Linked DNA regions of Rhinolophus ferrumequinum. The protein of the gene in region 2 binds, or shares a complex with, the protein of the main gene of each other region. Links are inferred from orthologs where the notes say so. Each region holds a gene or a part of one and is shown on either strand. Other genes may lie near its edges.

The links.
Region 1: the proteins of WDR48 (region 2) and USP12 are in contact, whole or in part, in a crystal structure (PDB 5K1C), measured with the Homo sapiens proteins. The link is inferred for Rhinolophus ferrumequinum from reciprocal best matches to the Homo sapiens genes WDR48 and USP12. Residues at the interface, in NP_065890.1 of Homo sapiens: Arg50, Trp77, Asp118, Tyr119, Lys121, Leu137, Ser170, Tyr172, Thr188, Asp211, Asn212, Lys214, Ser230, Gly254, Trp256, Arg272, Ile363, Ile364, Leu424, Lys425; in NP_872294.2 of Homo sapiens: Arg185, Leu187, Thr188, Cys189, Glu190, Thr191, Ser227, Lys230, Cys236, Arg237, Ser238, Lys239, Gln240, Glu241, His243.
Region 3: the proteins of WDR48 (region 2) and WDR20 are in contact, whole or in part, in a crystal structure (PDB 5K1C), measured with the Homo sapiens proteins. The link is inferred for Rhinolophus ferrumequinum from reciprocal best matches to the Homo sapiens genes WDR48 and WDR20. Residues at the interface, in NP_065890.1 of Homo sapiens: Val191, Lys207, Gly208, Gly240, Gln241, Gln242, Arg243, Cys244, Ile245; in NP_653175.2 of Homo sapiens: Arg20, Ser364, Thr384, Glu385, Asp386, Glu524, Pro525, Leu526.
Region 4: the proteins of WDR48 (region 2) and USP46 are in contact, whole or in part, in a crystal structure (PDB 6JLQ), measured with the Homo sapiens proteins. The link is inferred for Rhinolophus ferrumequinum from reciprocal best matches to the Homo sapiens genes WDR48 and USP46. Residues at the interface, in NP_065890.1 of Homo sapiens: Arg50, Trp77, Asp118, Tyr119, Lys121, Leu137, Arg139, Ser170, Tyr172, Thr188, Asp211, Asn212, Lys214, Ser230, Gly254, Trp256, Arg272, Ile364, Leu424, Lys425, Gly521; in NP_073743.2 of Homo sapiens: Arg181, Leu183, Asn184, Cys185, Glu186, Thr187, Cys222, Ser223, Glu224, Lys226, Cys232, Cys233, Ser234, Lys235, Gln236, Glu237, Gln239.

What each region holds. Positions count from the first base shown.
Region 1 is NC_046287.1:99,322,123-99,329,453, forward strand, and holds the start of USP12 (ubiquitin carboxyl-terminal hydrolase 12), read right to left. Parts: upstream 3,004-7,331; 5' UTR 2,746-3,003; coding exon 2,698-2,745; intron 1-2,697. UniProt on the Homo sapiens protein: Deubiquitinating enzyme that plays various roles in the regulation of the immune response and inflammation.
Region 2 is NC_046300.1:13,617,883-13,625,173, reverse strand, and holds the start of WDR48 (WD repeat-containing protein 48), read left to right. Parts: upstream 1-4,280; 5' UTR 4,281-4,302; coding exon 4,303-4,350; intron 4,351-7,291. UniProt on the Homo sapiens protein: Regulator of deubiquitinating complexes, which acts as a strong activator of USP1, USP12 and USP46. Enhances the USP1-mediated deubiquitination of FANCD2; USP1 being almost inactive by itself.
Region 3 is NC_046289.1:2,665,730-2,673,491, reverse strand, and holds the start of WDR20 (WD repeat-containing protein 20), read left to right. Parts: upstream 1-4,758; 5' UTR 4,759-4,866; coding exon 4,867-5,115; intron 5,116-7,762. UniProt on the Homo sapiens protein: Regulator of deubiquitinating complexes. Activates deubiquitinating activity of complexes containing USP12. Anchors at the base of the ubiquitin-contacting loop of USP12 and remotely modulates the catalytic center of the enzyme.
Region 4 is NC_046288.1:15,426,436-15,434,186, forward strand, and holds the start of USP46 (ubiquitin carboxyl-terminal hydrolase 46), read right to left. Parts: upstream 3,008-7,751; 5' UTR 2,837-3,007; coding exon 2,801-2,836; intron 1-2,800. UniProt on the Homo sapiens protein: Deubiquitinating enzyme that plays a role in behavior, possibly by regulating GABA action. May act by mediating the deubiquitination of GAD1/GAD67.

The DNA.
Region 1 (7,331 bases), on a different chromosome or scaffold from region 2:
TTTAGGAAAAACAAACTTTACTAATATTCACATGTAGCAGAACAAGAGTGATCTAGAGTAACACATATCTGAAGATTTGCTGTTAACAGAAAAAGTTACCCAACCCTGGTAGTGCCACTTTGCCCAGGTACCTTACATTGCCTAATGAAAACTTTATAAACTTTATTATTTACGGAATAAAATCTCAATTCATCATAAATGTTTTCACAGCTACTGATTCTGAGAACTATCTTTAGGTGCAGCCCCTCCACCACTCCACACACATCCCAATCTCGTCCTCACTTACTGGTAGGAAAAGAGGGAGTGGGGAAACTGTTTTATTGTATGCAGAAGTTAGTGCTCCACCAAAGGGCAGAAATAAATGGTAGTCCTTCCCCTTGAGGCTTTCACAATCCAAAAAGCAAAGGAGAGAAAAATTTACAACATAGTACATACGAGGCTATTGAGATTACAAAAAGCAGTGAAATTACAAAAGGAAGACAGGACAGGGATTGCCAGGGGAAGGATTATTCAAGTAATGTCAACTGCCTGACAGTCAGGTATGAACTCACTGACAAAGGGGGAAGGGGGAAGTGTTCAAAGCCTAGCAAAATAGCATCTACAAAGGCAGAGAGCCAAATATCTTTGCTTTTCTTGATTGTCAATTTTGTAATTCTCAGGAGGTGGGTTACAGTTTTCTTTAAAGAATAACATTGCAGATTACTTTCAGATATTTGCATTACTTTAGAAACACATCAGAATTTATTCAAATATAAATATAGATGCAATTTTAACACTACTTTTGGAACAATCTCATTTGGCCAGGCACTGGTTGGTGTTTCTGTATTCGCCAACCATACACACCCACCACATGCAATGCCCCAGAGCGGAAACCCTAAAAAGAGCTTTGGAGTCTGACATTGAGATCAGAATCCCACTTACTCATGTTTCCTAATCTGATTATAGCATGCGTTATTAATCTGTTCATTTGAATACTGTCCGCCTCAACTAGAATGTAAACACCATGAAAGCAGGGACTGTCTTGATCACCGCTGCATCCCCAGCACTCAGCACTGAGTCTCTACCACTAAGTAGGTGCCAAATGTGTACCTGATATACTGTGTGAATGAATGGTTAGGAAAGAGTAGTAACACATCATTCCAGAAGTACTAGACTTTGACAATGAACTATGACCTGACAATCCGTGTAGCTCAGCAATCTGGCAAGATTATCACTTTCAAAGACTTAATTATCACATTCCTTTTGAAATATGGTAAGATAATCACCAGCATATCTAAAAATAATTAATCCAAATGACCCTCAGAAATCCTTTCAATACAGTTCCTTTAATATCAGTGCTTCCTAAAATATAAATTGTGAAGGGAAAAAAATCTATTTCAGAAAACGCATTCTCCAATGATTCATGCAATGTGATTTCTTTAATCCTGCAGATTTTAACCCCACCTGATTTCGGCCATTTTTTACACTGTTCATCAACATCTAAAGCAGTGTAGAATCTGCTTCTAGAGTACCTTTTGGATCTGACTCACCACTCCTTTAAAAAAGATACATAAAAATGCCTCACCCTTCAATGGAAGACTGTTTGGGGACCTCCTATAGACAGAAGGAAAGATTTCAGAAGTCTTCAGTAACATGATCACCAGGCCCACGTTGCAAAGAATAACTTTTTCTGCAACGGCTCCTAATTATGATCCCTAGATGTAGCCTCACAGAACTAATGAAACGAATTTGCCCCATCGTGTGGAAAATTGTGCTTCTGCCTAAGCACAAAAACACCGAGATTTACACGCACCCACGTTTTGCTTCATTCGGGACTTTTCCACAGGCATTAGCACTTCGCTGTCAGAGTCTATTTAAAAACTCCGATAAAACACACACAATAACGCTCGCAGTCAGTCCCTGCACAGAACTACTTCGAGCCACACACAGATGTGCCCGGTGTATCAAGTAAACAAATGACAGGAAAGCTTAAGCTGTTTTCAATATTATCGTGGATTCCCAAAGACAAGACTGCCACCTGGACACACGGTTGGAAAAAGGAGAGCTCGTCGCTCTCAGAGTAGAAATGGGGAAATTTTCCACAGCACTTATTTAAAGTTTCCACCTTCATACACACCCCCTTCTCCAGAGCACCGGGTGGGGGACTCGGCCTCGCCCGCGCCGCGGGAAGGAAATCTGCACTTGACTTCCGTCCTTTCTCCCGCAGGAACGAGACCCTGCCTTCCTGCCGGCGGACCCCCACCCGCGCCCAGGGCCACCTCCCCGCTCCGCGCACCGCCAGACGGAAACGGCGCGCGCCGCTCCGCGTCCTTCCACCTCCGACCCCAGCCGGGACCGCGCTCCAGCTCGCGCGCCCACAGCCCGGCGCTCCCCGCCGCTCGGCCCCGGCGCCGCGGGAAGACTTCAGCAGTTGAGCGCCGGGGCGCTGGAGACCAGTGCCCGCTCCCCGCTACGTCCAGCACCGGTGTCCCCTCGCTGGTCACCCTCGAGCCGCCCAGGCTCGCCCGCCGCCTCCCCCTCCCGGGGGGCCGCTAATACCCGCGCCCCCTGCCCGCCGGAGTCCAACCGCCCCCGCCCGCCTGCCGCCTCACGACCCGGCTCCGCGGACCACCCGGGTGAGTGGCGGGGACCAGGGCCGCACCGCCCGCCCGCCCCAGGGATCCCGGGTCGCCCCGGCTGCCCTCCCGCCGCACCTACCATGGTACAGATGGAGGCGAATTTGGAGACTGTCATTAGGATTTCCATCCGCCCAGCGCCATCTTCCACCCAATCACAGTGGCGGCGGCGGCGGCAGCGGGCGGGGGAGGAAGGGAGCCCGGCCGCCCGCTCACACTACGGCCCGCGGGCGGACCCCGAGCCGCCGCGGACCCACGCACGGAGCCTGCTCTGCCGCCGCTGCCGTCGTCGCCGCGGGCGCTCCGGCACTCCCCGCCTCGGGCCCCAGCCCCCGCCTGCCGGCCGCCCGCCCCCGGCTCCTCCCCGGCGCAGGGCGCAGCCGCTGCCTCCGGGCCCGCGCCTGCCAGCGAAGCCACCCGCCGCACACCCCGCCCAGCGCGCTGAGGAGCGGGCTCCGCTGAGGCCCTAATGCCCGGTCTGCCCCGCAGCTGCGCTGCCCAGCGGCGCGCCCCCCCCACCCGCCGCGTACGGGGACCGCCCCACGCGGAACCCCGCCCACTCCGCGCGCCAGGACCGCCCTGCGCGCGGCCCCGCCCACTCCCCCGGCGCACGACTCTCCCGCCTGAGGTGCGCCTGCGGGGGACTCTGGAGCCGGCCCCGCCCGGCTCTCGGCCAGGCACCGCCTCCTGCCCGCGTCGCGGTCCTAGAGCCTGCGCGGCAGCCCTAACCCTGGCTGGGAGGAGCTACCCGGGGAGGTGCGGGTCGCCTCGGAGGCCACCTGTGTAAATCCTGGAAGGGGCTGATCGCAGGCTCCAACAAGGGCGACCCGACAGGTATTCCGCACTGCTGAAACAAATAACGGGGGCGGTGATCTGGTAATTCTGAGTGGGATGGGAGGAAACTTGCTTCTGCACAGTTAAAATAACCCAGGAAACCCAACGTCCCAAGCACTTACCAGTGGTTTGTATCTTTTTATATTAATATATAGTAGGTGAATTACCGGGGTCAAAATCCCCTAACTTATGGGTCAAAAATCCCTAACTTAGCAAGACTAAATAGAAAATGAAAGAGGCAAGCAAAGAAGAAACTATGTTTAGCTCTTTGAATGAAGAAGAAAGGTAAGTAATGGGAGGGGGGGTGGAGGGTGGAGGGCAAAGCTGCCTCTTTGCCTGCCTGTTGGCCATAAATTTAGAGTATGTTTATAAATATAGTTTCTAAATATATTCATTCAGAAAATTGAGTTGCAAAATAGGGAAGATCTCAACCCAGCAGTGATAATGATGTTACCGAGACATGAAGTCTAGCAAGTGAGAAAAATGCCCGGTGAGAAATATTTAAGTAGCGTTAGCTAGTGGTATAGTTCCTCTTTTCTACTTTCATAAAATTGATCATTGCACCCTTTTCTTCGTATCAAGCAACTCAGCTTTATTTCTTCCTATTTGAGAAAGTAGTTCAAGTTAATAGAATAACTTTATAAATTAGAAAGCTTGTGATATTTTTCGATTGGTGAAATACAGTGATGGGGTGCTTTTCTGGGTTCCCCCATTTCAGTGGGGCTGAGCTTCTGATAGAATTGAATTCAGACAAACTTCTAAAATCAGATATGCTTTACCTCATTCAAAAAAGCATTCAAAGAACAAAACAAAACATTCGAACAAAAATCTAGGTGAAAAATAGATTTCTGATGCATGAATAGTGTTTCCATAGTGATTTCCATTATAAGCTTGCTTGGGGGGAAAATGCAAATAGAACATAGCTCAATCCCATAGTAGCTGGCCTGGTTCTCCAGGCACCTGCCTCCATGGACGCTGGGGCACTCCCTCTTTGCCTGATACCCAAAGCCAGTGACGAGGACCTTGTTTGTCACTCCAGGCATTCAGGTATGCGGCTGTTTCCTGCCTAGACTTGGAAGTCTGTCTTGTGTTCCATCCTGCTTAGGCCTCCAGGACCTGCCTGGGCCTCCCCCCAGTGTCACCATGCCCTGGGACCCTGTCTCGCCTATTTGGATAAATGTCTATTGTCCTCCCTACTTGTTCCAGCAAACAGGTCTAAAGTGCCAGAATTTGAGCCCCCGCCTCCCTCTACGCTGCCCACTACCATGCCTCCATGTTCGTGAATCCTAAAATGTCACAGGAACAGAGGCCACCAGCTTTATACATAAGCTTCTGATAGAATTATCTGGAGTGGTGCTTAGTTGATGTTACAGCCATCTATATTTGCAGGAGATACCATAACACCTAACTGCAGAACCTCACAGTGCCTTGTCTCTCCAGCCTAAGGTTAATGGGAGAGGCACAAACAGAGAGTCTTTTGTGTGCTGGGCTTTCCTTGGGTGTTTTCACCATTACATTACCATATGTAATGCAGTTGAAGGTAAGATTTGGCTGAAACGCCACACTTTGGCACCCAGAGCTTGGAGACGGTCATCTGGGCTTAGAACACAGGTTTTACCTGCAGCTATATAAGTTTTACAGAGAGCTTCATTGTGTCTAGAGAAAGATGAGCTTGTATACAAACGATTTCTTTTGGTCCTTCCTGAGAGTGTAAGCTACAAAATAGACCCAGATAACCTCAGGGATCAAGCAAGTAAACAAACTAGAGACCAGCTTAATCCATTTGGTCAGCACATTTTTAAAAATTGTTTCATTTGAATACTTTTACACAACCCTCTGCTGTCCAGTTCCTTGCAAACCACCAAATATTTCTGTTACTCATCCTGTCTCCCCGCTAACCACATGTCGCTTCATATATTTCGCCATCTCTCTTCTGCCTGACGGTGCTAACATACATGACATGCTGCCTGTGATGGAGTGGGGAAGGAAGTGGTGGGAGAGGGTAGAGAGAGTGTGTAAGGCACCCATAATGACAGGCAGTGCTTATCTTTACACCTAGCATTTTATCAAATCTTCATAACAACACAGGGAAGTAGATGCTGTTATTATCGTCATCCCCATTTTCTAGATAAGGAAACTAAGGCACAGAGATACCTTTCCCAAGTGAGTGGGAGCACAATATGCCATCCCCAAATATACCACTTTGGCATATTGATTATTTTGAATTAAAGTTACTTGCAGCCAGTCCAAGAAAGATACCCTGAGCCCCCTGAGTCCTTGAAAGCAGGAGATACATCTCCCATGTGCAAGGTCTCCCGGTACCAGGACGTAGAGAGACACCCTTATCACCAGACATGGGAACTCAAGGCCAGAATGCTACATAAACAAAACTTGGTACTTCTCCACTCAACAGCTACCCCAAGCCCAAACCCGTTTGTTTTGTCAATTCTTCACACGTATTTTTCTTTGTCTAAAAAAGGTGTATAAACTGCCTGCTTTGGTCACTTCTTTGAGTCTCATATTTCTATGAGCTCCTCTACGTACAAATTAAATTGTTTTTCCTCCTGTTAATCTGGCTTATGTCAATTTATTAGACCAGCCAAAGAACCTAGAAGGGAAGAAGGGAAAAGTTTTCTTCTCCTGCACAAGATGACACAACTCGTGGGAGAACTGAACCTGGCTCCAGAGGCCACACTTGTATCAGCTCTGCTACGCCAGCTCATGTGATGCTAGTAGAATAAGCGTGAGAGACACTGACTCCTTTGGGACTGGTGTGAAGGTTTTAGCTACAAAATATACTCAAATAGATATTTCTTTGTCTCGCTTTCCTCATCTAGAAAATAAGAGTAACGATTATGGCCACCTCCGAGGATAAAGCATGGAGCATGTTTAGAATAGGGCCTGGCCCGCAGCACAAACTGGAGAGCTCTGAATGGCCATTCAGAGTCAACATTTTAAAAGTCAAGGGGGGCAAATACAGCCCCTCAGGCTGCCAGATTACTCCCTCAGACGTAATGAGGCTCTGCTATATGCCAGGCACCTAATTAGTACTTAAGATGCATTTTCTAATGTAACCCCTCCAACGCCCTTGAGCTCAATCACTTCCTGCTCCTTTTAGCACAGTCACCACGGTGCAGCCCAGCCAGGGCAGAACGGGGGTCCACTCCCAGACACTCTGACTTGAAAATGCCGGATCTCTCCCCTGCTCTACCCTCCCCATTCACAGTTGAATGAATCAGCTTTCTAGGTGACATACATGAACATCATCCAGCTGTCCAAAGGTAGATGTTAATCAAAACAGTGATGTTCTTTTGTTGTTTGAATCAACAAACCAGCCACTTACTTTTCAAAGCTGACTTCTAATCAGATGAGCAAAGCTGAGTCATCTGCATAATGGATATGTGACTGATTTGCTGGGCAGGATGGCATATAGCGGATATACCCCAAAACTGTCATTACTGAAATCTAGGCTTAAAAGAAAAGGGCCGAAGACACAGCCCTGTTAAACTCTATTTAAAACTGAAATGTGAATTCATTCATTAAAACAAATACGTGTTGATCATCTTCTGATGAATAAGAGAAATTTTCACCCTCAAGAAGCGCACAGCCCATTGTGGTGAACAGATAATTTTTATGGAAAAGGAGCTGAGAAAATGAACCAAGTGCTGTCAGCTCCCAGGGGGGTGGGATTAGCTCAGTCTACAGGAGGGATAAACTGAGGTCAACTTCGAATCAGGAAGAATGGGATGAACAGTGTGTGGGGGTTGGGGCGGGTAGGCAGTGGTCTTCCAAGCAGAGGACAAGTTGTGTGCAGGGACCTTGAAAGAGTGTGGGATGTGCCTCAGGCTGTGACATGGGGTGTGTTGCAGGGGGTTTGTAGAC
Region 2 (7,291 bases):
GAGTTGTCACTTAAAATACTGCAACTATCCTTCAAACAATCAAAGATGTATTCACTCTGTCACCCTCCAAGGGAGTCAACCCAGTGTTTCATCAATTACCCCATTCATCCATCCACTTCTAAGTCCAAAACGTCTAGTTGATATCCATTTCTCTGCAACTTACGGACTAAATAATGAAATTTACAAGGAATAGCACACCCTACAGACAATAGTGAAATAAAGGGTTAAAAAAAGTTAAAACCCATAAAAGTATACATGATACATCAATAAAAGAAATACCAATAAAGATGACAGCTCTCATTTCTTCCCCTGATCATGAGGACTTCACTTTCATTTATGATTTCCTTTCTCCACCAGCCACTCTGTGTTCCTTTATCTTCAACCAATACCTTCGTTTCTAAGGGATCTGAGTGTTTGATGGACCTGTCTGCTTATACCAGCAAACCTATTTCTGCTTGATACTCAGGGTTAATCACTTCCACCAATACCATGTCCTTCTTCTCTTGCCTATCCAGTGACATAAGACAGGCAACATAGTTAGATAGCAGTTTCATCTCCAAATCAATGGAAATGTTCAGGCTTTGTTGGAAGAATTCCTTTCTTTGGTAACAAACCTCTAAACCAGCAAAGCCCAGAATTTCAAAGAATAGCAGTTAAAAACATTTTAAGTTGGAGTCATTAGGTATATTCCTTTGTTCCTAAATCCATTCATTTTGCCTATGGAAGTGTGGTAGTTTTAAAAACATATCCACAAATTCTTTGACACTTTTCCCATTTAAGAAAATGGAATCTCCTTAGATATAACCAGCCTTAGCGATTAAGCCTTAATGAACTAAATGTGGTTTAAAGTGACACTGCAGGATTTCCACTGCTACTTTAGAAAAAGCATTAATTACAGTTTCCACCCGAATTTCTCTCCGTGGGGAGGCTCGCCCTTGGAACCCATGCACTACTGTGTAAATAACCAAACAGCACAGTGGAAAACCCATGAGTAGATGTTCTGGCCATAAATTCAGCATCGGTCACCAGACATACGAAGGAGTGGGCCTTTAGATGGTCCCAGCCCCCCAATTTTAGCTGCCCCAACTGAATCAAGTGGAAAGTGGAACATAGACAAGCTGTCCCCTAATTGGTGAGCCCTGCACCAATTAGATTTGTAAGCAAAGTAGATGTTGTAGTTGTTTTAAACCGGTAAGTTTTGCGTGGTGATGCAGCAATAGATAAGCACAGGGAGAAAGCGTGCCAAACACTGGACACTGGTTCAAAGCATATACTGCATCCTGTAAGACAGCATCAAAAAGGGTTATCTCCCAGAAGGCACCATAACTAAGTCTTCAATTAAGACCAGGTGCTTCTTGGTGATAGAATACACAATTAGACCAATGAATTCTACAAGCAATAGCCCACAGAGTTGCTTTCATTACAGAGTGAGTTTGTTGATCAGAAGCAATATGGTGTGAAACACAGTAACAGTATATGACACATCCCCTAAGTCCCCGATGGTGGTGCTGACAGAAGCACAGCAAGCGGGGAAAGGAAATCTAAGTCTAGAGTAAGTGTATTTCAGAGGCCAAATAACTACCCCCTCCACGATCGGGAAGGGCCAATGGAATCGACTTGCCTCCAAGTGGTTGGCTGATCCTCCCGGAGCTTGGGGTATATCACCAACTCAGGACTGGCCACTGTTGCTGGCAAGCTGAACACTCAGCAGTGGCTTGGTGATGCCACGCATAGCTCCAATCCTGCTATTATTGCCATTTCATTCATGATTGCACTGAGCCTGGATAAGGAGGCTGAGTTTCATCTAAGAGCAGTTCATGTCATCTGTTCAATAAATTCTTAATTCTTAAGATGTATTCTGCAAGGTCGAGGATATCCCTTCCTGAGTCTTTCCTGTCACTAGTCCTCCAATCTTTCTCTTTCCATGTCCTGAACCAACTGGCCAAACAATTAGGCTTGGACCATTAATTATTACCCAAGGCCATCTCTCCTTCAGGTAAAGTGAACTTCAAGACATACTGCTAGATATTCTGCCCACTGAAAAGACCACAACTTCAATGCTCTTCAGGTGCAAAGTGGGACCACAACAACCTAAGCATCCATTTCTGGCAGGTACCAGCATATTGTGCAGGGCAACATGCCTGCCTGGTGCCTGGTACATCATGGGTGTGCAATGGATATGTGTTGAATTATTGTTTCTAATGCAGATCAAATGCTTCTCCTGCTTAAATCCTTTCAACAGGTTCCCATTGATCTAAAAGACCCAGCTGTGTGTGGTCTCTGCATACTCCTTCCCCTTCTCTGTACTCTAGGCTTGGTCCTCAATTCCTGGAATGTTCCAAGCTCCCTCCTGCCACAAATCTTTGCTCAGACTGTTCCTTTTCATTGTCTAGTTAACTCCATCCTCAGATCTTTTCTTTTTTTTTTTTAAAGATTTTATTGGGGAAGGGGAACAGGACTTTATTGGGGAACAGTGTGTTTTTCCCAGGACCCATCAGCTCCAAGTCAAGTTGTCCTTTCTTAGTTGTGGAGGGCGCAGCTCAGCTCCAAGTCCAGTTGCGGTTGTTCAATCTTAGTTGCAGGGGGCGCAGCCCACCACCATCCCTTGCAGGAGTGGAACCGGCAACCTTGAGGTTGAGAGGACGCGCTCCAACCAACTGAGCCATCCAGCTGCCTGGGAGCTCCGTGGCAGCTCAGCGGCAGCTCGTTGTTGTCTTCATTCTAGTTGCGGAGGGCACAGCTTGTTGGCCCATGTGGGAATCGAACTGGCAACCCTGATGCCCAGAGCTCACGCTCTAACCAACTGAGCCACCCGTCTGCCCCGATTCTCAGATTTTGACTCAAGAATCGTTTCCTATCTTATAAATGTCTTTCTTCACTGTATTTATCTCCATATTCATTTATATGCATAATCAAGTTATGTCTTACCCTGGAACTCTAAGTTCTATGGTTATATACAGTCACTACTGATCCCCAGCACCTAATATAGTACCTAGTACTTAACAAGTGCTAAATAATATTTGTCAAATAAATTAATACACGAAAAATGAATGTATCTGTAATAAAATGCAGTATGGGTCATTTATCTACAAGTTATCACCGCCAGTTTTGCTTAAGAAGCTTTATGCCTCCAGTTTCTACGACTCTTAATTCATATTTCTTTATTAATTTAGAAAGGCATTTGTCTAGACAAGAACTTTCCTAAGCATTATTTCTTTATTAGCACTATGCAAAAAAAGTGACTATATATGTAACTTTAAATATACTAAGAGCCACATTATAAAACACAAAAATATAATTTTAATATTTTAACCTAATATAGCCAAAACATTATTTCAAGATGTAATCAAGCTGAAAATTATTCAGGTATTTTACATTCTTTTCTTTGTACTAAGTCTTTGAAATTAGGTGGTCATTTTAGTTTCATCACATCTCAATTTGAACTAGCATATATGTCAAGTGCTCAAGAGCCACACATGAAACAGTGCAGTTCTATAGGGTTCCCTTTCACAAGGGAGTCTGACAAAAAAAAAAAAACAAAAAAAAAAAAAACAAAAAACAAAAAAAAACAAGGGAGTCTGACTATCCTCAGCACCAATAATTAGTGTCAGGAAAACTTCAAGTCAAACCTTCACCCAGAAGGGCTAATTGCCCTAGTATAAGATTCTAGAGTGAGCACAACTCCTTCAGGATCTGCAACTTAGAAAGTTGTCTCTGAGAACAATTTTAACCAGTGTTAAAGGATGTTGCCTTCCTAACGTCCTTTTATTTCTTATTTAAATACATACTTTGATGCTCCTTGAAGATGGGGGCCGCCTCCTTTCCAAACACTTCTATTTCTCCGAGACCAGTTTATAATTTTCTGCATTTTGGGATATGTCATGGAAAACCTGTCAGTTCCCTTGGCTGCCTAGGGAAGTTGGGGGTGTGGGAAATCCGTGCCAGCCGCCCGTGTCCAGCATTATTAAATCTTTCAGCGCTTCCCTTAAGCCTGCTTGGGCCTCTGGAATTGGCATCCCAGACAGAGAACAGTGCAAGCCAGGGTTGAGGGGCACACAGAGTTGGATTCGGATTGCTCCCTCGGCTCAAAACTGGCTCTGCCAGCATTACACGCACGCAACCATTTTTCGGTGCTCCTCCCTCACCCCAGGGCCACCGGCCATAGCCACACACTGCAGTCGGGCAGCCCCCGACCAGCACGCCCTCCGCCTACCCACCTGCCCTTGGCCTAAGAGGAAGAGGCGGGACATCCGCCCGGACCTAGCTGCTTCCAGAAGTGACGTCGGAGTGTCAACATGCAAGATGGCGGCCCATCACCGGCAGAACACGGCGGGGCGGAGGAAAGTGCAGGTATGGGAGCCCGGCTCCTCGCCCTCGCGGACGTGGCTGGCAGCTCCGGGCCCACCTCCAGCGAGCAGACGGCGCGGGCCGCGGTGGGCCGGGGTGGCGGCTGGGGGCGAGTGGGACGGGGCGCGGCCGGCGGCGAGGGGTGGGGCCGCGGCGCTAACGGCTGGACGAAGGGGCCGGGGGCTCCGGGCTGGGCCCGCAGCGGGCCCCGCGAGTGCTCGCTTCGGAGCTTGCGGCTGCCGGTCGCCCGCTTTCTCGTGGGCTTGGGCCGGCGGGGAGAGGATTGGCTCGTTCCCCGCCCACCTGCCTTCCCCTGCCCTGCCCTTCCCTCCCCTCCCCCGGAGCGCTCAGCCCCAGCCGCGTCGGAGCGGAGGCCTCCGAGCGCGTTCCCCGTGGGCAGGCGGCGAAGGAGACCGTGGGCCTGTGCGGGGGCGTGGCGGGCGGCGGAGTGCGGACCGCCCTGCGGGTTTTCTGCGGGGATTCTGCATAAAAAACGTCCCCTGCCTTTTTTTTTATGCGGGCGCTTTCCCCGTGGTGTGGTGGAAACGACGTGACAGTGTGCCAGCGTTAGTGGGGAGAATATCATTTTTGTTTCGGAATTTCATTTCGCCTTCCCCATTTCTTCATCTTCGATGTGCATCCATGATTCTTCTTTCCTATTTCTGTAGTTTATTATCCAAGGGTAAAAGGTTATCTAACCCTTCCGTGGGTGCTTTATGCCTTCGTGAATCCGCTTTTGTTTTGGGTACTTTTAAGAGTACCTATTATTTTAAGCGATGCAAAGAGTGAGTAGAAGCCCTGTATTACAGGTGTTTGCCTGCAGGTATATGGTACTACGTACCTTATACCTTATTTAGTAAACATTACTAAGCACTTCGTTTGGTCCCAAAAATGTGCAAAGAATTGACAGTATAGGAATAAGTAGCCACCAGGCTTTCTTTATAAAAACAGCATTATATGGGGTCTGACAATTAAGTTCACAAATTTGTTGCAAAGATGTTGCTAACCTTTTTTGGTGTCAAAAGGATTATTCATTATGAATTTGTACCAACTGGACAAACAGTTAACCGAGGTTACTATTTGGAAGTGCTGACAAGGCTTGCGTGTAAAAGACGGCTTGAACTTTTTGCCAATAATTCATGGCTTTTGCATCATGTCAACGCATCCACCAGCTCACACTGCACTATCTGTGAGGGAGTTTTTAGCCAGTAAACAAATAACTGTACTGCACCGTCCTCCCTATTCACCTGATCTGGCCCCCAATGACTTCTTTCTTTACCCGAAGATAAAGGAAATATTGAAAGGAAGACATTTTGATGACATTCAGGAACTCAAGGGTAATACGATGACAGCTCTGATGGCCATTCCAGAAAAAGAGTTTCAAAATTGCTCTGAAGGGTGGACTAGGCACTTGGCATTGGTGCATAGCTTCCCAGGGGGAGTACTTCAAAGGTAACCATAGTTCAGCAGTGAGCTGAACTTTCTCTAGGATGCCCTTTTTCTAGGATGAGTTCGCGAACTTAATTGTCAGACGTCATATATATGTAGTTCTACAAGTTGAAATCTGAGTGTTTAATACCATGTTTTCCCGAAAATGAGACCTAGCCGGACAATCAGCTCTAATGTGTCTTTTGGAGCAAAAATTAATATAAGACCAGATCTTATGTAATAATATAGTATAACATATGATACCGGGTGTTATATTAATTTTTGCTCCAAAAGACGCTTTAGAGCTGATTGTCCAGCGAGGTGTTATTTTTGGGGAAACAGGGTAGGACAAAGGCTTTCTTCAGTAAGATACCACAGCAAATTGCTATAAGCCGTAGTCTTCTGGGCAGTTCACTTCTTTGTTTTATTGATTTCTTTGGTAAGTACAGTGTCCTGAGCATTCAGTAGATGCTTGCTGAATTGAGTGAAATTAATAAAAATCTACAATACCTTACCCTGTTAGGTGACTTTTAAGTGCATCAGTGACAGGATTTAAGTAACCCCAGCATGCAGGCCAGGTAGTGAGAATGTCTGCTCCTGACTAAAGTGTAACTCAAAATTGTAATTTAATTGTATTCTAGATACCAGAGCGATACACTTCTTAGGGTAGTAAGGAGAGTTAATTACAAGAAAGTTAATCAGTTTCTTGTATTTAGACTTAAAAGAATATAAAAGTATAGGACAGGGAAAATGTAAGTTAACTGCAGTGTGTGTGGAAAAACTGAGTGTTTTAATAAGCTGAATGTGAGCCATGGCATGTAGAATGAGGGAGATGATAATTCCACGATTCACTGGTCAGAGCACAAAACTAGAGTTTGAGGTTAACACTTATCACTTTGTCCTAATAAAGTATAGCAGTCGATTGCCAAAGTCGCTTGAAGCCACTTCCTATGAAGAACATTCAGAAGAACTAAGACTAGCCTGCAGAAGAGAAGGTTCGGTAACTCTTTTTAGCTGCTTTCAGAATTTGTCCCCAGGGTCTAGAAACCAATGTGAGAAGCCACAGAGATTGATTTTATCTCAACATGAGGGAGAACTTTTGTTGATGGAAGTGTTTTTTAAACTAGTGCATGTTCATTGCAAACAAGCCACAAATAACGCCCATCAATAGACAATTGGATACAGAGGATGTGGCACGTGGCATGTACCGGGGTGCCAAAAAAATGTATACACATGACTTGTATTCATCTTTTATAATCAGTATATATTGAGTATTACAATTTTAATACAGTATTTTCCTTTCTTAAAATGTGTATACTTTTTTTGGCACCTTCTGTATATATAATGGAATATTACTCAGCCATAAAAAAGAATGAAATCTGCCCATCTGCAATAACATGGATGGACCCAGAGGGTATTATGCTAAGTGAAATAAGTCAGAGAAAGACAAATACCATATGATCTCACTTATATGTGGAATCTAAAGAATAGAGTGAACGAACAAACAAAACAGAAA
Region 3 (7,762 bases), on a different chromosome or scaffold from region 2:
TTCTGCAAATTTGAGGGAAAAAGGAGTGCTGTGTTTAGGACACTGTGCTATGGGATGTTTCCCAAGCTTGTTTTCAAGTTCCATGTGGTTTTATAAGGAAGTACCGAATCCTAACGTAATGATAGAACAAGCTCATGCAGTAAGATAAATCTGAGAGATTGGTTACTTCACACAGTGAGTCAGTAAACATTTCCAATATCCTAAAGATACCCATCGATGCCTATTTCTCTTTAGCAGGTCACTGTGGCAAACTCCTCAAAGTTTAAAAAACAAACATGCTTTTCATTATCTTACTGGATTAATCTCTGAATCTGAAAAATAATGACAAATTTGACCTAAAGTAAATACTCTTTATGTGTTAAGTTGCAAAATATTGGTATGCTCTTGTCCCCAATCTCCTGGATTGTGCCACTGTTCATACTCACTTCCTCAGTGATAGTATCCAGGCTTTAAACACTGTCTATCAGCTAATGCCTGCCAAACACACGTGGGCAGCTCAGACTTGAGTATTCTCTCCACACTTGATTATTGAACTGCCTCCTGGACATTTCTTCTAACTGCCTAATAGACATCTCACACCCATCATGTTCAAAACTGAACTCCTGGTCTTCCTTTCAAATCCTGCTCTGCTCCACTCTTTTCAGTTCAGTTAATGGAATGGCATTTCCATCCTCCAGTTGCTTATGCTCACTTTGCATTCATTTTTGACTCCTCCATTTCTCCCACCAGCCCTTTCTAACCTGCTGGGAAATCCTACTGGCTTTACCTTCAGAATATACCTAGGACTCTCTAACGTCTCTCAATCTCAACTGCTACCAGCCCTAGTTCAAGCTTCCACTGCCTTTGGCCTGGATTGCTACAGTTAGCCTCCAAAGTGGCCTTCCCTTCCACTTTTGCTTCCCTTAGTCTACTCTCAAACCAGCCAACAAATGGATTCGTAAACCCTGCAATGGCTTTCCTGCTCACTCTGCTCCAGCTACACTGACAGACTTGCTGTTCCTTGAACATGCTAGGTAGGCACACTCCTGCCCTGGGGTCTCTGCCATGGCTTTTCCTCTGCTTGGTCAGCTATTTCCCAGATCTGCCCACGGCCCACTCCCTCACCTCTTTCAAGTCTTTGCTGAAATGCCACCTTCTCAATGAGACTTACCTTGACTACCATATTTTAAATGGCAAACCACTCAACACACCCCCAAGCGATCCTCTTACTTTACTCCACTTTTCCTAGCACAATCGCTAGTCGGTTTATTTGTTTGTTTATCCTGTCTTCTTGCAATATAGACTCCATGATTGTGGGATTTTTGTTTGTTGATGCATCCCCCAGGCTAGAATTAGTGTGGCACATGGGGACACTCAAATAAATATTTGAGGATACAAATAATTTTAACGAGTTCCCTCACATCCTTGAATGTGCATATACTCCGGTAGAAAGGCAGCATATACAAACGAAAAGATAAGTATCAATACAAGATAATTAGCATATGCTGACAAATACCAAAAGATGGTAATGTTTTAGGCTATTACATAGGACAAATGAAAGCTCGGAGGAGTGCCACAGAAGTTCAGAGAGGTAATTTTTAAATTTGGCAGGAAGGTAGTCACACCTCTTTGAAAATCTGATGAAAGCTATAGACTCCCATGATCCAATGAACATGTACACACAATTTTGAATATAATTACAAGGAGTTCAAACCCGCCCTGAAGCCAGCCATGAACTGGGAATTGAGAATTCTTGACTTTAAACATGGTTTTATCACCCAGGGCTTGGGACAGGCTTGGTGAAGATAGAACTTAAACTAATTCTTGAGGAACAGGCTATGAAAAGGAAAATAAAGGAAAGAAGGTTCTTTTCAAGCAAAAGAAAGAGCTAAGGGTGACAGCAGAACAGTTTGACTGGAATGAGGGATTTATGCAATACTTAACAGGCCAAGAACTGCTTGGTGTATAACTTAAATACGTATATGAATTTTGCAAATCACTGAAAGTGTTTGGGCAAGAGAATATATGTCTAAAGTATTGTTTCAATAAAATTAATTTGGAAGTTGTTTATAGGAGCAAAGTTGAGAGAAAAAGTGAAATTAAGGAAATCATTCATAAAGCCATTTTATAATGATTCAAGTTTGAAGAAAAGGAAAGTGAACCGATAAGGTTTAGAGAATAATGAATTTGAGGCACAAATCCAATTAGAAATGCCTGGTTTGAAACTGAAAATCAGAAATGAACTTCAGATCGGGCCCAGTTATATAAATTCAGGTGTTATTTACTGAATCTTTGAGTGTGGTGGAAAAAAAATTACAAGAGAAAAAGTATTAAGAATACAGATTATTCGGGGGACGGCCTGTGGCTCAGGCGGTTGGAGCTCCGTGCTCCTAACTCCGAAGGCTGCCGGTTCGATTCCCACATGGGCCAGTGGACTCTCAACTACAAGGTTGCCAGTTCAACTCCCGCAAGGGATGGTGGGCTATGCCCCCTGCAACTAGCAATGGCAACTGGACCTGGAGCTGAGGTTCGATTCCCACATGGGCCAGTGGACTCTCAACTACAAGGTTGCCAGTTCAACTCCCGCAAGGGATGGTGGGCTATGCCCCCTGCAACTAGCAATGGCAACTGGACCTGGAGCTGAGGTTCGATTCCCACATGGGCCAGTGGACTCTCAACTACAAGGTTGCCAGTTCAACTCCCGCAAGGGATGGTGGGCTATGCCCCCTGCAACTAGCAATGGCAACTGGACCTGGAGCTGAGCTGCGCCCTCCACAACTAAGACTGAAAGGACAACAACTTGAAGCTGAACGGCACCCTCCACAACTAAGATTGAAAGGACAACAACTTGACTTGGAAAAAAGTCCTGGAAGTACACACTGTTCCCCAATAAAAGTCCTGTTCCCCTTCCCCAATAAAATTAAAAAAAAAATAAGAGGAGAGATCAAAAGATACATAGAAACAAATGCAAATGAAAATACATCCTACCATTAAAAAAAAAAATACAGATTATTCAAAGGCTTTGGATGAGACAAAGTGAACAGCCTATTATTGTAATCACAATAAAATATGTTGAATTTATATAGAATAGAACTTTAATAGGATGCTCGAGGTATACATGTATTATGGGTAATTGAAAATTGTGGTTGAGGGCTAATAAAATTTTTTGTTTTAATTTTTGCTTGCTATTTTTTCCTCCAAAAAGTATTATTATGCTTTTTTCTTCCTTGATAACTAGGGAACGCAGCTGAATTATTTTTAGATGATTCAGGATGTCACTATCCTATAAGGTGATCATCATAAATACTATTTTCAATGTAAAATCACTATAGAAAATTGGGATAAATCCTTGGTGACCACAGAAGACATCCAGGTATTTAAAGACTTCTGATTATCTATTTGACTTTTAGGTAAATGCAGATAGCATCAAAACAATACAAAATTTAAATATTTAGGGATCTATTGAGTGGGATTTGACTCTCGCTTTTTTGCCAACGTGCACAAAGGATACAGGATGTTAGTGTCAAGTGCATTATTACATCATTGGTAGAGTTTCCACTGGCATCTACCTGCTTTGTAATACATAAGATGTTTATGATCTGGACTCTTCTTACTTTAGAACTTACCTGCTCCAGTCTTTGTGACGCTCCAGCTATGATTTGAACTTAAAGAAATAGTTCATTTTTGGTGTAACAAATGTTGGAATGCCCGCCCCAAATTCTATCAGAATGTTTCTGTCACATTAGAACCTTCCTCATTCTAGTGCAACATGCCAAGAAAACCAGGTATAAAATGACACTTGTTTAATCTTCAACACGTACACCTGTCCTTATATATCTAGACAGAGTGCAGTATATGCATACAACTATGCCCAGTAAACAATTTCGCAGATTCCACTTGAGTCTTTTTTTTTTAAATCGATGATCTCTAATTTTATTAAGGGCTCTTAATAAAAGATTGAGCAAAAGAAGTGAATCCTGCTTAGAATTCCTGCTCTGGGTCCCAAAGCCATTCTCCTCCCCAACCCCTTTTCTCTAAACACCTGGTGAAGACAGACTTAAGAAACAAGTGCTCACAACCCACTTTCCTTAAAATTAGCCAATGCTCACTATAATAGGTATTCAGATATTTAACTGCAAACACATATTCTCTCTGTGTGTATATACTGTATTCCTCTCCCTCCACCCCGCCTAAAAGAAATGGTGAAGCGCAAAACTAAGGTCTTTCGGTACCTTTTCGGAAACTGACTTAGGGAGGTGCAGAGGGGATCCAGACGATTGTGCGGGGTGTCTGAAGGGAGGCCCCGGCGGGGGGGGAGGGGAGACGGGGAACCGGCCCTCGCAGCCTCCGGATGCTCCTGCACCCTCCCGAAGGGAGAACACCGGGGCTCCGCCCTCCGCTCTCGGTACCCCACGTGCTGACTCCCTAGGGGGCAGCTGCCGAGGCGGCTCTCTTTCTTTGCTCTTCTGGGTGCCGGGGCCCCTCAGAGCAGGGCCGCAGGCAGCTGAGGAGGCCACTCACTCCGAGTTCACCTCAGCGTTCCCGACCGCGGCTTCTACCTACCAACTCGGCCCTTGCCGGGCGGCGGACACAGCCACACGACTAGCCCGCCCCCGGGCGGAGCCTGGCCTCACCTGCACCGCGGCGGGGCCGCCCCAGGCCGCGCCCAGAGGAGGAGCCTGCGGACGCCCCGCAGCGTGGAGCGCGCCAGGTGAGCACGCCTGCGCAGTCAGGCCGTAAACAAGCCCGCCCCTTCCCCTCGGCCAGCCTCCGCTGGGCCGGCTCGCGAGTGGGAGGGGCCAGGAGGAAGAGCTGGAGGGAGAGGAAGGCGCCTGCGCGGTGGGCGTGATCCGGGCACTTGGGGCAGGATGAACGCTGCTTTCCAAGATGGCGACGGAGGGAGGAGGGAAGGAGATGAACGAGATTAAGACCCAATTCACCACCCGGGAAGGTCTGTACAAGCTGCTGCCGCACTCGGAGTACAGCCGGCCCAACCGGGTACCCTTCAACTCGCAGGGATCCAACCCTGTCCGCGTCTCCTTCGTAAACCTCAACGACCAGTCTGGCAACGGCGACCGCCTCTGCTTCAATGTGGGCCGGGAGCTCTACTTCTATATCTACAAGGGGGTCCGCAAGGTACCGACCCGGGCGTCACCGGGGCCACCCAGCGGCGTGGGCAGAGGCCGGGAGCAGGGCGGTGACAGCGGGGGCCAGGTTGACCGATAGGGGTGGCCGTCGCTCTTACTTCTGAGTGGGCCGGTAACTCCACTGGGGTGCCCCTGCGGAAGGGGGATTCGGGAGTGAGCCGGCTGGTGGCGGTGGCGTTTCGAAGGTATGGGGGCGGTAGAAAGGGACCGTGGGGTGCGGGGTTCGGTCTGGGAGGCCCCGGGAGGGGCCGTCTGCCTCTCCTCTGGCAGGGTCCGTCAGGCTCTGACACGGCCAGGGAGCGGGCCTGCGAGTCCCCGGAAGAGGTGGGGTGGCCGACTAGTCTACTTAGGTTGCCTCGCCTCCCGGGAGGGTTGGGAGTCTCGCTCTGGGTTAGAGAACAGGCGGCTTGGGAAGGTCTGTAAGGCGGAACCCGGGCTGGGAAGGAGAGGACTTGAGACTAGGTCAGAAAGGACCTGCTGGGCACGAAGGGCCACTCCACCTGCTGCCGCACTGACACTTCCTAGGAGCCTCTCCTGGTGTTGACACTCTATTTACAAAAACACCCGAGGGAGGACTGCTGTCACTGTCTCTGCCGAGGGAACCTTCTGAGAGGTTGTTAAAGAGGGTCATCTTGTCCCTTCTAGTATGGGAGGGCTGATTACTACAGTTGTGAGGTCGAAAGGATGTTGTCAATGAACTAAGGTGGTTCATAAGGGTTCGGTGTGAGCGTGCCCAGATCAGTCTTGTCCAACAAGTCAGACTATGTCCCAAACAGGGAGGGCTATGCCTTAAAAGCTACTTTACCAGAACCATTCTTGGCAGGCGACTTAACAGTAATTCTGTGAAGCATGTAATCATCCTTTAAAAATAATCTCTTTAAAAGAAGCAACTTATTAGAGCTTTTCTTTCATTGGCAACATAACTTTGTTCTCATTGAGAACTGTTTTTGAGATATGCGTTCTTTGACTTGACTCTTGGAAGAGAGGAAATTAAAATGTACTCCACAGCACCTAGGCATGGGAAAAGGTGATAACAGATTTAGAAATGTTCGGTTAGTGTAAAAATAAATTGTATATACTGAAGAGTGAACATTCTCTAAGTGTTAATAGCCAGAACAGGTTGCTTTTGCTTGGTTAAAAAAACTAGGGAATGACAGTGCTATCTAAATGACAGTGGTAGCAAGTTGTCTCATTTGTTCAAGGTGAATCTTTGTTGTTAGTGTTTGTGATAAGTGTACCATTCACTGTCTTTGAAGTATGCTGTTATAAGTTACTGAAAGCACACCGCTTGGCCTTACTTTTTCTCTTTTGGAACTAGGAAAGTGAAGTCATTAGACTAGGAGCTGAAGTTTTAGTCCTACTCCCAACTTTGTCACTGACTTGCTGGGTGACCTTGGACAAGTTATTTAACTTCTTTCTGGACCTTTTAAAAGGAGAAATGCTGCAGTACGCATGCTGTGATGTATAACATAAAGACTAATGAGCTTTAAAGCCCTGAAACAGTAGATGTAAAATATAGTTAAAATAAGCAGTAAGAGTAACTGTCAAGCGGGAAGCTTCTATCTTGACATTGGTACTAGGACCGAAAGGATCAGCTTTTTCTCTGGAAATAAGTTTGGAATTTTAAGTTAATAAATTTTATTTATATAAAGATACAAAAAGTGCTTAAAAACTAAATTTACTAGTAATTACTAGTGTAGGCATCACCATTTTTTAAAAAAGTTTTCTTTGAAAGTATATTATTTCTGGAGCATTCCAGTAGCAAACCTTATCTGGATCTGGCAGCCCTGGTTTGCATCATAAAAACAGGCCCCTTGCCTGAAAGTATCACAACAGTGTTCTCCTTTAGTGGGATGCTAACAGTGAAGGGTAAAACTTAGGGGAGCCTTTCAAAACCACCAAAAAATGATTTTGAACAAGACAAAAATCTTAAACATGCAAATTTGCGTTTAGTTGTGTAATGTAGTTGAGCACTTTAATTTTTTGGTGACATTTCATTTTCATGTGGTAATATCTTGTATTAAATACATTTGTATCTTGTAGATACACATGGTGGACGTTGCAACTCTCTTCTAGCCATTGTAATTAAAACATTTTTTTCCCTATGAACGAATTGGTTTATTAGTTTTGAGTACAGATGATTGTTTTTGTGACTCTGTTTTCTGATTTTAAAACAGAGCACATAATTTTCCTTAATCAGTAACCCAAACTGACTTTTTGGAGTTAGGCATTATACAGCAGATTTTTTTTTTTTTTTTTTTTTAAGATTTTATTGGGGAGGGGGCGCAGGACTTTATTGGGGAACAGTGTGTATTTCCAGGCCTGTTTTTCCAAGTCAAGTTGTTGTCCCTTCAGTCTTAGTTGTGGAGGGTGCCGTTCAGCTTCAAGTTGTTGTCCTTTCAGTCTTAGTTGTGGAGGGCGCAGCTCAGCTCCAGGTCCAGTTGCCGTTTTCTAGTTGCAGGGGGCATAGCCCACCATCCCTTGCGAGGAATTGAACCTGCGACCTTGTGGTTGAGAGGACGCACTCCAACCAACTGAGCCATCCGGGAGCTCAGCGGCAGCTCAGCTCAAGGTGCCATGTTCAATCTTAGTTGCAGGGGGCGGAGCCCACCATCCCTTGAGGGAGTCGAGGAATC
Region 4 (7,751 bases), on a different chromosome or scaffold from region 2:
AAGATGATATCGTTTAACACCGTTTCTGGACACATACATCAGCCTGTTTAAAATATGCCAAATGACCTGCTTTAAAAAAATGCAATCACCACTTGCTCTTATAACAACTACTCAAACCAGCTGGGACCAAATGGAGTTAAGAGTGGGAAGGATCAATAAGAGCCCCAGAAAGAAGCTAAACAGTGAGAAGGAACCCACAGACCACCTACCTGAAAACAATTCATCATCGAGTGAAGACTCTAAAGACAGGTCCAATGAAAATTTACATCTGATCAGGTGAAAAGACAGCAGTCTCATCCCCAAGCCTTCCTGTGTGGGAAGTGAGACTGGGAGGGGCGAGGGTGACCTGAGCAGCCTTTCATAAGGGGCGGGATTATGGATTCCCATCCCAGGCTTTGTATACAGTCACTCGGCTTGGTTTGCATAAATGACCATGTGGGTTGTTTATATTAGTGGCTGCTGTCATCAAGTCCAAGAAGGCATACTCCCCATTGTCCTTTGAACAACTGAAGGTGACATAATGATGTTGGAAACAGCTAACACTCAATAAGTACTTGTAACTCATTTAATACAACAGTCCTAGGAGGTAGGAACCATCATCACCCTGTCTTTATAGATAAGACAAAGAACAACTTGTTCAAGGACAAAGAGCTAGTATGTGTTAAAACCAGGACTTGAACCCAGAAAGTCTAACTTGAGAGCCCAAATCTTCATCACTTGCTCAAGACACAATGTCCAAACCAGAAGATAAAACATCTTACTTTTGAATTATTTATTGGTTCCTCACCACACCTAGGTGATGAGCCTAAATTTGGTACCTATTTAAAGATTCTACGAGGTATCAACTTTCCAGACAATACTAGCGCACTCCTCTCACGTCCTCCCTGCCACTTGTCTCCGTGGCTGAGTTTTACTGGGAATAGGTTGCGACATTCTGTCCAGATGTGCCAAAAAGCCCCAGTTGCACCGAGGGTAGGTAGGTAGATAGATAGATAGATAGAGAGAGAGAGAAATAAATAAATTTTTAAAAGCTGGAGGCTGGCTTCCTCTTGGGACGCGCTACTCACTCTCAAGTTTCCAGCCTGCTTCAGTAGAGAGAGGTGTCACCACACACTAGCTTAGGACGGGAACACCACCCAGGGCTGGGACTGCACCTCACTGCCCTGTAAGCCTGAGGCCACTCCAGCAGGCATGAAAGAAGAGTGTTAGAGCTGCTCTGGTTTCACAGGCCCCTCAGGAGCTAGTCTAGCATAGAGGGAAACCTAGAAGGCATCACCTTTCCACTGCACCAGGCAACATTATCTCCACAGGAAGACGGAGCAGGAGACCCAACTGCGTAGAGAAGGACGGGAAAGAGAGGAAATGGATATGCTCCAGGATCCACCCACCACATCTAACTGGTCCTGTGCCAATACCTTGGCAGCTATCACTCTGGGAAGCCCCAGCATTTGTTCTGCTGGCCATGGCAGTGACCACAGCCAACAGTGCTGAAAACTGAAGCCAGCACCAGTGGGTCTCAATTCCACTCCTGAGCGAACACATGGCTCCTTAATGCTTCTCTGCCATGTGTTAATCTTACAACAAAATGTGGGACAGAAGATTTAAAAAGCTCTGTGATGGGGGAAGGGCAGCCAGATCACCTTACCTCCAGGCTTCCTAATCAAGCCTCCTCAGATTCCCTTTAGGGGCCTGTATTATTAGCTACTAGGGAGGTTTTCCCCAAACTAGCATTAAAAGAACACGTGTTCCAGCTGGAGATAAGGGAGCTTTGCTGGGACGAGGGGACCCTGGAGAAGGAAGGCAAAGCAGACACTCTTTCAGCCTGCACAGGAGGGCAATGTCTTACTCCAGGAGGCAAGCTGTGCACCCCAAGGCTCTGACAAGTGGGGGTGCCAGCAGGGTGCACCCTGGGGACTCAAGGGCTGGAAGCTGTTCCTGCAGAAACTGAAAAGCAAGGGAAAGCTGTAAGAGAACCCCAAGTTAAAGTCACCACCCCGCCCTGGAACCAGTCCCCATCAGAGCCCAGTGATATTCCCTTGCTGTGTCTACACCCACCAGCCTACACAGAGCCTACAGCGCATCAGGCCGGATCACCCCGGAGACCTCCTCCACTCCCACAGCCTGTCCCACCACTCTCAGGGCCTTCAAATGTCACTGCCATATAACCTTGTCCCTCTTTCACTGGTGGGGAAACTGAGGCATCTAAGACCTATTACCGTGCTTTCTCAAACCAGGTGAAATTCACTTCCCTAAGCACAATTTTGCACTTTTTTTATAGCTTTATTACATTTCAAATTTCTCCAGATACAGCGATTGCCTTTGGAAAGTGCATTTTAAATACAGTTTAAGGAGTGAACTCAAAATGTGAAGAGGGCGGTCAGAGAGACCCGCAGGGCTTCATCTACCGCAAGGACAGGATGGGTACCCCCCACCCCCCGGCTTATCCCGCAAGCCCTTCCACCGGGACGTCCGGGTTCGGCCTCCCCCTAAGGCGCTTCCACCGCAACCCGAGGGCGGAGGCACCCGGCGCGGCCGGGTACCAGCGGGCGGGTTCCCAGGTCCCAGTGCAGAGAGCGGGGCAGGGGGGCTCGGGGCCCCTCCCCCGGGGGCTCTAGGGGCTGCGGCCGGCGCGCCCAGCCCGGGGCGGGGAACTTCGAGCGACGCGGCGCAGACCCTGCCGCCCCTCGCCCCCACCCCCACCCCGGCGCCAGGCGAGTGTGCGGCTCGGGTTTCCCTTTCTTTGCCTCGCCGCGCCTCGGGCGCGACCCCCGAGGCGGCAACGGCGGCGGCGGCCACTCACCATATTACAGATGGAGGCGATGTTTCGGACAGTCATTAGTCTAAAGGTTGCAGCGATCCCGCACCGCCATCTTTATAAGGTGAAAACAGGACTGTCCATGGTGGAGCGCCCGCAGGGAGGCCGGGCGGCGGCGGGGAGGCGGCGGGGAGGCGGCCTGGGGTCCGGCTTTCAGTTTGGCTGGGAGAGGGAGGCTGGGAGGGAGGAGGCGGAGGCGGGGAGGGCGGGGAAGGCGGGGAGGGCGGGCGGGAGAGCGGAGGGCGGGGAGTGGCGGAGTGGGGGAGCCTGGGCCGCGGCCGCGGGCGCGAGGAGGAGGGGCCGCCTGAGCGCGCCGCGTGCGGCCCGCGCCCCGCGCTGCCTCCGTGCGCCCGGCCTCCCGCCGGCCCGGCACCTGGCCCCGGGCCTCTACGCCCTCTTCCAGCCGCCCGCGCCCCGGGCCACCGGGCTCGGCCTTTTTCTTTTCCTTTTTATATTCTGCTTCACTATCTTTGGACTGAAATGCCGGCCCAGGCCCTCGCCTGCGCGGCTGCGGCAACCTCACCGCGCGGGTCCCCGGGGCAGACCCAGATGCCGCGGCGGCAGCGGCGGCGGCGGCCTCCTCCGGGCCCGTGGCGCCGGCGGGAACCAGGGACAGCGCTGGGCGTTGGGCACCGCCTGGCGGAAGGGGCCGCGCCTCGGGCCGACAGCAGGCTGGGGAGGCGGGAGCCCGGGCCCAAGGCACGGACGCCGCGGAGAGGGCCGGTGCCACACGGGGTAGTTTTCTGGCTTCACTTTTTCTTTCCTGCCTCCGGTCTCGCAGCAGCCCCAGGTCTTTATATTTTGGCGGGTGGAGAAAGCAAAGGGTAGGGGTGACTAAGGCCAACTTTTAGTTTCTCCCTGGGGTTACAGCCAGATGGCACCGGCGAGGACCAGAATGGGGTCAGAACAGGCGAGTGTGAGAAAGCCCTTGCCAGCCGTGGGCCGGCTGCCTGGTAAAGGGCGCCGCGAGGGGAGAAGAATCTGGGTCTTGGGCGGAGGCCAGAGCGACGCGCTCAGGCAGTTTGTGACATTAACAGGTACAAAGGACAAGTCCGGGTTCTGGGCAAGGAGTAGGGACTGTCCGAGGAGCGATTTGAATCCGGAAAGAACCAACCTTGAACGCATCTTAAAGAAAAAACTACCTCTCTCCTGGGCACTCAACCTCTAGGTTTTGAGAAGACTGCTCTGCTGGCTCAGACACATTTCCTGCATAAAAGGTCGTGGCTCCTAGCTCAACTAGCGAATCTACACCACTTAGCAGATACGTTCATGCGAAGTGGAAAGGAGCCCGTTTCCAAATGTGTGAAACAATTCTACATACAAGGTTGCAATTCAGTGCTTTCAACCGAAAAGTTGTACAAGTGAAACGCATGGTAATTCTTAAACCAATATATGTAATGACATTTGAAGAAATTAATATAACTGAAGACAGCTTTCATCTAACCAAGCCAAGGGTACCATACTGGGAAAAGATTCCACATCCTATTCTCCATTATCTATTTAGTGTTACACACGAAGATTTGAGAACCATTGATTGCTAATATCCCTAGGACTAGGGTGAAAACAAAATAACTACTGACTCAAGTTTTGTGGGGTCATGTTAGCTGTGTATATTTCAATGGGTTTAAGGAATAAACTCCTGCATATGTTAAGTCATTCTACCTACATCTTATTTCCAAACAAATCCTGATGATGATAATCAGTAACTTTGAGTTCTTACCATTGTCAGTCATGATGTTCTTTACATTCATGATCTTCAGTTACCGTCAGGACTATCAGGTGATAGATGCTATTATCCTCATCGCCTTTTGCAGATCAGTAAAATAAGACCTAGAGGATCAAATCTGCCTCCTGTTGCCAAATGTTACAAATGTAGCTGGTGTGCTAAGCAGGCTGGGAGAGGAGAAGGGAGCAAAATACCCAAACTATGGCCAGTTGGATAACAGACCTAGAAAGGTTTAAAGACTTAAGGAAAATGGCCAAACAAGTTCAGGAGAACCTTCAGGGCCCAAACTCAGGACTCGGGACTCAATTTCACAGACATTCCACCATAAAGGCATTAATCCAAAGCCTTAAAATGATAATGGAAATTTTATACCGTCATAGAGTTCAGCATTCTGCCGGCATTGACACAATGGATTGCAAAGTCCACGGGACAGAAAACCCCACTGACATAATGAAAATTGAACATCATCTGATGACTGAGTGCTATATGAACAAGTTAAAAGAGTCTTTTGCGTGCCTTTTAACAGTGTGTAGCCTAAAAGTGAAGTGTTCAATGTAGACAAACATCCAGATTGAAACTCAAGCAGTGAATTACATACACAACAAATCAATTGAACACAGCAGATCTTCTCAGGCTCATGAATAATTAAATACATGTTTACACTACTAGATTGGTATTCACAGGTCTAAATTGAAAAAGGCATCAGTTGAAGAAGAATTGTAACTTCGGCTTCACTCAGTAAGGAAACACTTGCAAATGATAAGAGGTAAAATGATGAAAATGTTGACAAGCTAATGAAAGAACTTTGAGGCAAAGCATTTCATGTATAGGGACTAGCTTGTATGAAGGTATAGAGATAGAACTGGGAAAAGTAGGCAAATGGAAGGATGGGAGGCTAGCACTAAACAGCTTGAATGAATCTGAGGGAGGCAGTCACTCCAGGTAGTATGCCTCTTGCTACACAAAGTGTGGTCCGTGAAGCAGCAGCACTGGCGTCACCTGGGAGCCTGTGAGAAGTGCAGATTCTCAGATTGCATCCCAGACCTACTAAATGAGACTGCATATGAAGTGTGAAGAGCAATGCTCCAGCCAACCACTTGTGGTGGTGGTGGTCTCTGTTTTTGCCTGCCCAGGTCCAGATTCTACTTTGGGGAACTCCTCTCCCATTCCCAGAACCTAAGGTTCAGGTGTGGCTAAGTCACCTCCTGGCTCCAGAGTAAGGCACGTGATCCAGGCCTGGCCAATGTGGCCTGATTGCCCAGCCACAGTAATTGCTTCAGCAAGGAGAATGTAATATAAACTGAGCCAATGAGGATCAGCCCTGGGTTTTTTGGAGAGGAGGTACTCCCCTTCCTGAGTTTGTTGAGCTGATAGGATAAAATCTAGAGCTGCCATCTTTCCACTGCCTGAGAATGAAACCAGTGTAGAAAAAAAATGAAGCTGAGGAATGGAAAAGAGACCCTAACCACATCATTTATCCACTAGCTGCTAGATCTATATCCTGGACTCTAGCAACTCAAGTCAGTAAAGTCTTTGTTTTCTTTGGCCCATTCAAATTGAGTGTCTGTCACACACAACTGAAAGAATCCTAATAACCAGTGTCTCCCTGTCCCCCCAAATGCATTAGGCTCATTCCAAATTCATGATGTTTTCTTTTCCTCTCTTCTCTACTCACTAAACTGATCTTTGGAAGTCTTCCTCCTATAGTTTTGCCTCCTCCGTGAGGCCATCCCAGATTGCTCTCCCACACCACAACCACGAAAGAACTCCCATATTCAGATGGTTCCATACTCTCCCTTCTATTGTTACCAGTTTCCTGTCTGTCTCCCTCCTGCTTCCCCTCTTTGCTTAGCCTTCCGATGACTGGAGGCCACTCAGCCTTCCGATGACTGGAGACAAGATGAGATGCCCTTGTTATATGTTCTTATAGCACCATCCATCTTTCCTTCAAAGACCTTATATTTATAAATATGTTTATGCCATGTAGCACACAGCATGGAGGCAGTAGAGTGGGTGGTTGAAAAATGAACCCTGGATCCAGGCTGCCTGAACTAGCTGTATCACCTGGAGCAAGGTTTTTTAACCTCTCTAGCCACAATTTATCTACAAAATGAAGACAATAAGAGTACCCCTCAGAGTGTGATTGCATAAGTTTATGTAAAATACTAAAAATATACCTGGCATATATGAACCACTATAAGTGATAGCTGCTATAATTATTGTGCATGTGACTATTTGGTTAATGTTTATTTCCCAACCCTCATCAGACATGAAGAGACAGGCCTGGTTTTACTCATTTTACATCTAAAGAAAGACACAGCGCCTTGTCCATAGGAGGAGCCAAGAATTCAGATATTAAGTATCTGAACAATTGCCTTTCCAAGTGGCCTGGAAGCTCCTGGAGGAAAAGAACCTTGTCATGTGAATTTTTAAAAATCTCCTCTGGTCTCAGGCACTGAGACTGGCACATTCATTCCTTTCCTTTTTTCCTTATTGTCATATAGGTTATTGCAGCTCACTTGATATGCAAATGCTAGTAAACATTTCGCTGTTTGAGGGAAAAACATTTTGCTGGCTGTAGACTTGAGTTTGAAACCAAACTGGTATCTGTGGATTATATTTCAATTTTATGAGGAACTTTGTGACAGCCTTTTTCCTTTTTCATCATGCATCGAACAAATACTTACTAAAGACATACTTTGTGCTAGACGCTCTGTGTGGCACTGGTGATCCCAAGATAAAAGAAGGCAGTCGCAGCACTTGCACTGCTCGAGTTCATTGGTGGTGCTCCTTGGCATTGTTTATGAATGTCCTTGCTCCATTTTGCCTGCAATTAGTATGAAATAAGGATAAGCTAACTTTGGTATGAGCATCAATTTAGAGTTCCTACAACAGAGAAGCTGCATCTAAAATCATGAGTGTATTTATGGGTTGTTAAGATTCCCTGAGCCTTTGGAACAATTGGCTTATTATGAGTGCCAATTAAAATGCTGTGGAAGGATTATTAAGCTCGGTTGGAACATGATTAGATTTTATTTGCTCATACATTTTGATTAACTGAAAGAAGAGATTAGTCTAGCTGGCCACCATATGGGGAAATAGGGTTTGAAGGAAAGCAAAAGCACTCTAGGTGAGGTCAGTTAGAAATCTGTGGTGAGAATCCCAGAGTTGTCAGTAGCCTGGGAATGGCAATGGGGAGCAGGGGGGAAG